2 linked regions of the Danio rerio genome follow. The protein of the gene in region 1 purifies or fractionates together with the protein of each later gene. This does not show direct contact. Links are inferred from orthologs where the notes say so. Each region holds a gene or a part of one and is shown in the gene's direction. Other genes may lie near its edges.

Evidence for each region.
Region 2: the proteins of itpr1a (region 1) and erlin2 purify together in Homo sapiens (affinity purification with western blotting, with the first as the bait; 4 studies listed by BioGRID). This does not show direct contact. The link is inferred for Danio rerio from reciprocal best matches to the Homo sapiens genes ITPR1 and ERLIN2.

What each region holds. Positions count from the first base shown.
Region 1 is NC_133181.1:42,512,273-42,516,103, forward strand, and holds part of itpr1a (inositol 1,4,5-trisphosphate-gated calcium channel ITPR1), read left to right. Parts: intron 1-410; coding exon 411-611; intron 612-704; coding exon 705-820; intron 821-1,143; coding exon 1,144-1,279; intron 1,280-2,449; coding exon 2,450-2,575; intron 2,576-2,656; coding exon 2,657-2,785; intron 2,786-3,153; coding exon 3,154-3,274; intron 3,275-3,366; coding exon 3,367-3,551; intron 3,552-3,831. UniProt on the Homo sapiens protein: Inositol 1,4,5-trisphosphate-gated calcium channel that, upon inositol 1,4,5-trisphosphate binding, mediates calcium release from the endoplasmic reticulum (ER).
Region 2 is NC_133180.1:36,102,499-36,106,329, forward strand, and holds part of erlin2 (erlin-2), read left to right. Parts: intron 1-1,146; coding exon 1,147-1,238; intron 1,239-1,352; coding exon 1,353-1,442; intron 1,443-3,831. UniProt on the Homo sapiens protein: Component of the ERLIN1/ERLIN2 complex which mediates the endoplasmic reticulum-associated degradation (ERAD) of inositol 1,4,5-trisphosphate receptors (IP3Rs) such as ITPR1.

The sequences.
Region 1 (3,831 bases):
TACAGTAAAATATAAACCAAAGTGATGCATATGTGCATAAAATATAGATTCTACACTTTCAAACGAAACCACTTACGGGGGTCTGGTGCAACGCTAGCCCTTTAAATCTGAAAGCGAAAGTCCATGACGTCACAGACCTGGTACCGGGTCCGCGGAGTTTCAACACTTATATTGCCTCAACCCTACCCTAAACCCCAGTCCTTACTGGAAAACTTTGGCTTTTTGAAAATGAACCTGTTATTTTTACAGTTTTGATTACAAGAACACAAGGCAAGTCCTCTTAAACCACCTTAACATTCTATTACCTAGGTCATACCCATGTTATTATATTGTAACCAAAAACAAAAAACCAACACAGAGAGAGATTTTAATTTTCATTCTTATACTTCTCCTGGTCTCTCTGTTGCTAGATCCTGGAGGCGGTGACCATGCAGCATATCTTCATGAATAATTTCCAGTTGTGTAGTGAGATTAATGAGCGGGTCGTGCAGCATTTTGTGCACTGCATCGAGACACACGGCCGCAGCGTGCACTACCTCAAGTTCCTGCAGACCATTGTCAAGGCAGAGAACAAGTTCATCAAGAAATGCCAAGACATCGTCATGGCTGAGGTTTGTTGACCAGATAGAAGTTCACAGTTTTGAGACTGCTGAAATACACAGAGTATTACTTAGTAAATATGTTTTATGTGTGTGTTTGTGTAGCTGGTGACTGCAGGTGAGGATGTGCTGGTGTTCTATAATGACCGGGCGTCTTTTCAGTCATTGGTTCAGATGATGCGTCTTGAGCGGGAACGACTTGATGAGAGCAGTGCACTCAGGTTCGGAGATAAAACTGCCCAAACACGTCTTGTCTCTACAATATTACAATATAGATTGTTACTGTATCTATTTAACGTTGAAAACTGCACTGAATCATGCTAGTATGAACTGAACAAATGTCAATATTTGTTCAATTTGTTGAAGTTGGTGCAGAATATCTTGTTTTATGATTGTAAATATCTGTGCTCTGCCTCTGAATTTTTCAGTTTTCAGCACTCACAATGAGGTTACAATGACATCTCTCATTTGCATTTAAAAAGTCAGAAAAGGTTTGTTGCGTACTTGTTGTTGTCATTATAAGACTTCATGCTCACTCTTACAGGTATCACATTCACCTGGTGGAGTTGCTGGCTGTGTGCACTGAAGGCAAGAACGTCTACACTGAGATCAAATGCAACTCGCTGCTCCCTCTCGATGATATTGTACGTGTGGTCACACATGAGGACTGCATCCCTGAGGTGTGTGCACTTTTTGGATTGCTTCACAACCTAAAGTAAATTGTTGGTCTGATGCTGCACAGTCCATAAACAAATAATTGTCTATAACAAATTGTAATATGTTAAACTGGATATTGCTAATCTACTTTTTCTAGTTGAATTCAGACTCTTAATGACTAATGTTTCCCACAACACATTAAATAGGTAAATAGCTTTGATAAACGACTAACATTGTGGATACGATGGTTAATCGTATAGAGGTTGTATCTGGGATTGAATGAATAATGATTAAAATCTAAACCTGATGTTAACTATTTATTTCATGTTATCTGGATTATATTCCGTCTGCAACAGTATTTTAAAAGTTTTATAAACATGTATCTGCATGAAACATCCTTGAACGTCAGCTGAATGTGCTACTTAATTTCCCATGGAGTAAGGAATCTGCTCATGCAGAAATGCGCAAGTTTTTTAGCCCATCATTGAGTCTATTTTTTTACTTGTTAGTTTCTTTACTAAATGAGTCTAAATATATATTTATTCAGTTTTTACATTATTTTCAGTAGTATTATTGATTAATATGCAAATGTTTACATGAATATTTATAGTACAGTTTGTAAAGTAATATGTTCTGTCTTTTAGTAGATATGTGAGAGACTTGCTTTGTGGATCTAATAAGATTTGCATTGGAAACCTTAAATAAAAGTTAAAAAGTGATTATTTGTTACTTCATATTTTAAGTTTTTGGTTACTACACTCTCAAAATAATTCCACAAAAATTCTACGCAGAAACTGCAAAAAAGTGTCCAAGGATTATATCTGGCCATAACTAACAGAACTGTTAATTAATGACAAAGTAGCATGTCCTAAAGCACAGGTGTCAAACTCAGTTCCAAAAGGGCCACAGCTCTGCACAGTTTAGTTCCAACCCTGATTAAACATACCTGATCAAACTAATTGAGTCCTTCAGGCTTGTTTGAAACCTACAGGTAAGGGTGTTGGAGCAGGGTTGGAACTAAACTGTGCAGGGCTTCGGCCCTCCAGGATATGAGTTTGACTCCCCTGTCCCAAAGCTTGCCTATTCTTCTATTACACAACCAAAATAAAAATTGTCTTTTTTTTTTTCCAGTATTAGTAGCCAAACTGGGATGTGTGACTTTATAAAATAAGAATTTATAATTGCGCTTGCAGGTGAAGATGGCCTACGTGAACTTCCTGAATCACTGTTATGTTGATACAGAGGTTGAGATGAAGGAGATCTACACCAGCAATCACATGTGGAAACTTTTTGATGATTTTCTGGTGGACGTCTGCAGAGTAAGACTCAAATTACCAATGGTTTTCAGTTGATACATGGTCAAGAGGGTCTGGATAATCACATACTCAACTTTCCTTTAGGTGTGCAATAACACAAGTGACCGTAAACACGCTGACACAGTTCTGGAGAGATACGTTACAGAGACCATAATGAGCATCGTCACCACCTTTTTCAGCTCACCATTCTCAGACCAGAGCACAAGTTTGCAGGTAGCCCCCATTTCATTTCTGCTTTTAGTACTTTTGCACATTTTTTAAGCTTGTGACAGTTTTGATCTTTTGAACACTAGAAACAATAGGATGGAAACAATTCTTGTTTATAAACAATTTATGTGATATTGTAAAGTACAATTCACAGCACTGCATGAAAATGTGGCTTCTAAGTTCAAGAGATTCGCTCAAAACTTTGATTTATTTCATTTTATTGAAGTTTTATGAGCAAGTCATTGAATGATTCATCAGGACAGATTTTTCAAAACTAATTCTAATTAATGAAATGTATTTTCTATCAGACCAGAGCACAAGTTTGCAGGTAGTCTAAGGTGTAAAAGTACCATCTATGTCTCCTTGTGTCTCAGACCCGGCAGCCGGTGTTTGTGCAGCTGCTGCAGGGAGTGTTTCGTGTATATCACTGCAACTGGCTTCTCCCAGGTCAGAAGGGGAATGTGGAAGCCTGCATCAAAGTGCTGAGTGACGTGGGTAAGAGCATCCTCTCCAGCAGCTGTTTTCATCATTTAAGATATTTCATCATGTAGGATATTTCAACAGATTTGCTGTTGTGTAATGTGCAGCCAAAGGCAGAGCCATAGCCATTCCTGTGGATCTGGACTGTCAGGTGAATAATCTGTTCATGAAGTCCAACAACATTGTGCAGAAAACAGCCCTCAGCTGGAGACTCTCTGTCCGTAACGCGACTCGGAGAGACTCTGTTCTGACCACCTCTCGAGACTATCGCAACATCATTGAAAGACTACAGGTGAGGAAGTCACATTACCACTGTTTTTTTTTTCTTCTAAATTACAACTTTGACATATTATTTAATACATGGAAAATATAGTCCCAAAGTGAAGTTTATTTGTAAACTAATTTCGAGAGGATCACGTGCTTATGATTGCTTGCAGTCACTCCCGCATTATTCAGTTTATGATTCACCAATCAGACGATTCAAAAGCCACTATTAATACCTTAAGTTCCATATAACAGCCATCTTCGTTTTGAAGAATCCCCCCTTCCACCCCTACTCTTCCTCCTTTCCT
Region 2 (3,831 bases), on another chromosome or scaffold:
ATGAAAGAAAAACATGAAACTTAGCACACCGGAAGACGGCTCTGTGAGTTGCAAAAGAAACATGCTCTAAATAAATTTCCCTGAATAAATATATTAAAAAAACAGATATAAAACTCAGAGGTGAACTAAACCTGAAACATAACCTGCTTCAGAGATTTATATGTATGTTCCTTAATGTATTTATCACATTTTCAATAAAACGCTATTATAAAATAAGATTTTTTTGTACTTTATTTTATTAATAAAGCTTTTTTTATGATGAGCAATATACATTTAATTATTTAATATATATTTAACCTGTAATGTGAACAGCATACTTTTTGTTCATAATAAAAATATACATCTAACATCAAGATTACAAACTAATGCATGACAACCAACCAATGGGGGGAGAAACTCACTAAGAATACAACTAACCATTAAACAGAAGAAAAAGAAAGAAGAGGCGTTGCGTGCTGCTTTAATGATGACTTATGGTTTTGGCATGCTGTTGGGAATCTCTTTTGTGTTGAAGGTTAATATAACATGATTTAACTGAACTTAACCTGTATGCAGGTTTAAGGTTAATCACCATAGAATTTAGGATTAATGTGAAAGTAAGTTAAACTTGCTTTCTGGAATAAACCCCAGGCAATGAACTAGAGGAAACAGGAACCTACTGTAAATGCACAAACAGGTGATACAGATATTGTGAAAACGAAGGCAGGAAACAGAACAAAGGACAAAAAAAGAATGGTGTTTTTTTGTTTTTTGTTTTTTTACTTAATCATACTTGATTCTTGCTGTTTTGTAATTTTTTTTCAAAGTTAAACATCTAATCAGAATTATTTACCAATATTTTTTACTTTAAACTTTACCCTCTAACACTAAATCAGCTAGATTAGTATCAGTAACACTTTTATTAGTAATTTTTGGAAACTGCATGGCTTACATACCTGCTAGATTCATGCCAGTAATTTGGTGTGCTCTATATAATGCAGTGATTGAATTAGGAGGACGTTTTTCTCTCACACTTGAACCACATCTAACAGAAACATATATATCTGATAATTGTGCAACTTCATCTGATGTGATCCTGCTCAACCAAACATAATTTCTTACTTTCCTTTGTTTAATATTTTGTGTGTTTGTTCATGTGTTCCTCAGGGAGAGTGAGAGAACAAAGTTACTGATTGCAGCTCAGACTCAGAAGGTGGTGGAGAAAGAGGCAGAGACAGAGAGGAAAAAGGCTGTCATTGGTAAGCAAAGATGTTTTTCTGAGTATTAAACCCGAGTCTGTCTTGTATCATGGTGAATTGGTTTCCGATTACATAAAAGTGAAATAATGTCACTCTGTTTTATCATGTTTGCAGAGGCAGAGAAGGTGGCTCAGGTGGCTGAAATCAAATTTGGACAAAAGGTTATGGAAAAAGAAACGGAGAAAAAGATCTCACAAATTGAAGGTAGGTGAATGTGTATTCACGAGTGTTCAGAGGTCCAAGAAATCATGGAGAATAAAACTAGATCAGACTAACCATATGGACATGTGGGCCTTCATCTTATTAAAATATCAGTCTTTATTTATGCTTCAGCATATTATTAAATAAACAAGTGACAATAAATACATTTATAATATTATTAAAAATATGGGTAACACTTTAGTTTAGGTCACAATTCAATGTATTAATAAACCATTAACAACACTACAAACTTAATAAATGACTAATTAGCTGTTTATTAAAAGTTAGTTGGGTAAAAGTTGGGTTTAGGTTGTGGGTAGGATTAGGTATGCGGGGTAAGAGCATGCTCTATAACTGCTAATGAACAGTTAACATCTTATTAATAGACAGGTAATAAGCCAGCAGTTAATAGCATGAATTGTGACCTAAACTAAAGTGTTACCAAAATATGTTTCAAATAGACTGAACTAATAAAATGAACTTTTTTATATTTTTGAGGTGGGGAAAAAACAGGTTCCAGAAAAACAAAGCAGCAACTGTTTGTGCTCAACATTGATAATAATCAGTATTCCTTTAGTGCAGTTTCAAAACATCACGCTTGAACACTTCAGAAAATGATAGAGAATAGATTCTGTGCAGTACTGGCAAATCATGCTGTTAAGTTTAGGTTCATGTTAAGCAAATGGTCTGTTAGCTTTAAAGCTTAAAGTGTCTTGGAGTTTGTCTCCTTAAAGTGAAAAATCAGGTAAAACAGAATAAAAAAATAAAGCTACAAGGAAATAGAGCATTGCACTCCAAAAAACATATGATGTGAATACAAATTATGTGTTATTGTTTGCATAGAATTAGCTACACAGCCATTTAGTGGGAATGATCTGTCTGGTCTGGCCTGCCTGCCCATCTGTTTTCTACTGTGCAGTTTATTCAGGGTCAGGTTTCTTTACCTTCTTACAGCAATTCTGGGAAAATAGACTTTTCTGAGCCAGCAAACTAAATCACACTCACTAAAAGTCAAAGTATTGTGGTTTTTATGTTAACATCGGTTAGAAGATTGGTTTGAACAGTCTATGAGTAATTCTAAACTAACGTCAAGCGAAACTCTTGTGACTCTTTCTTCTAAACATGCATTGGAACTATCGTGTAATAGTTTGTCATTTTTATTATAACAGTGTGTATTGTGGATTTAAGGGCCAAAGAAGCTATTTTAATGGTTTAAATGTTTAGGCAGTTCATGTTTAAGTTTTTGCATAACTTCTTAAACTTACAATACAATATACAACTACTGTATATGAGTAGCTCTTTAAGGATGATAGCTAGCACAGCTCATATGATGGGTCATTAATAATGATTGAGGTCTCAGTTACGCTCAATGATAAATCTACTACAGTGTGTTGGACGAAAAAAACAAAGCCAAATCAAAATCTGCTTTCAGATTTAAATTGCAGAACTTTTTTTGTTTAGACGTACAGTATCTGTGCCATGTTGGCTTGACAAGTAAAAGGTCTGTTGTGTATATACTGTCATACTTGGATATCCTCTGTTCTGATTTGTCCAGCGGATATTGAAACTGGCCAGAATATGTTTTGTAATACTCAACTGGGTTTTGAGGGCTGGCTGTAAACGGAGTGACAGCTCTGGCTGAAGTGCAAGAACGTCAGTCTCAGTCATTTTTCCCTACATTAAACAAATAGTACCTTTGAAGGACCATGCACGCTCAACTGGGATCATTCATATCACTTGCCTAATAAAAGCTGTTTAAGATGTGTTCATACTTTTGTGCCGGAATTACGAGCATCCAGCTTGTAAAAAGAATAGAGCTCATAATTAGAAAGATTTTTCTGACAACTATGACTTCATGGATGTGGATTTTGCAGTTAAAGGGATAGTTTACCCCAATAATACAAAATACTGTTTATTTACACAGCCGCAAAAAATTTTTTATTCTTCAGATAATTATTCGTATAATTAAAGTCATTAATTAGTAATCCTTTGGGACATAAAAAAAAAAACTATTTACAGGCAAAACAAGAGTAATACCTGTGGTTCCTGTTGATACATTATGATCTTAAGAAGCAAAGCAACTGACTATTTTTGCAACATTGTTACCTTTAATCCACATGGGCTAATATCTAAATCTGGTTCTTTTCTGTGAACCGGTTGTTTACAACCTTGTAAAGTACTTTTTAGTTCAAAAATCTGACTCACCAGTCATCACACAGTAAACATAACGTACAAAATAATGTAATTCAATCATTCATTCATTGTCTTGTCAGCTTAGTCCCTTTATTAATCCGGGGTCTCCACAGCGGAATGAACCACCAACTTATCCAGCACGTTTTTACGCAGCGGATGCCCTTCTAGCCGCAACCCATCTCTGGGAAACATTCGCACA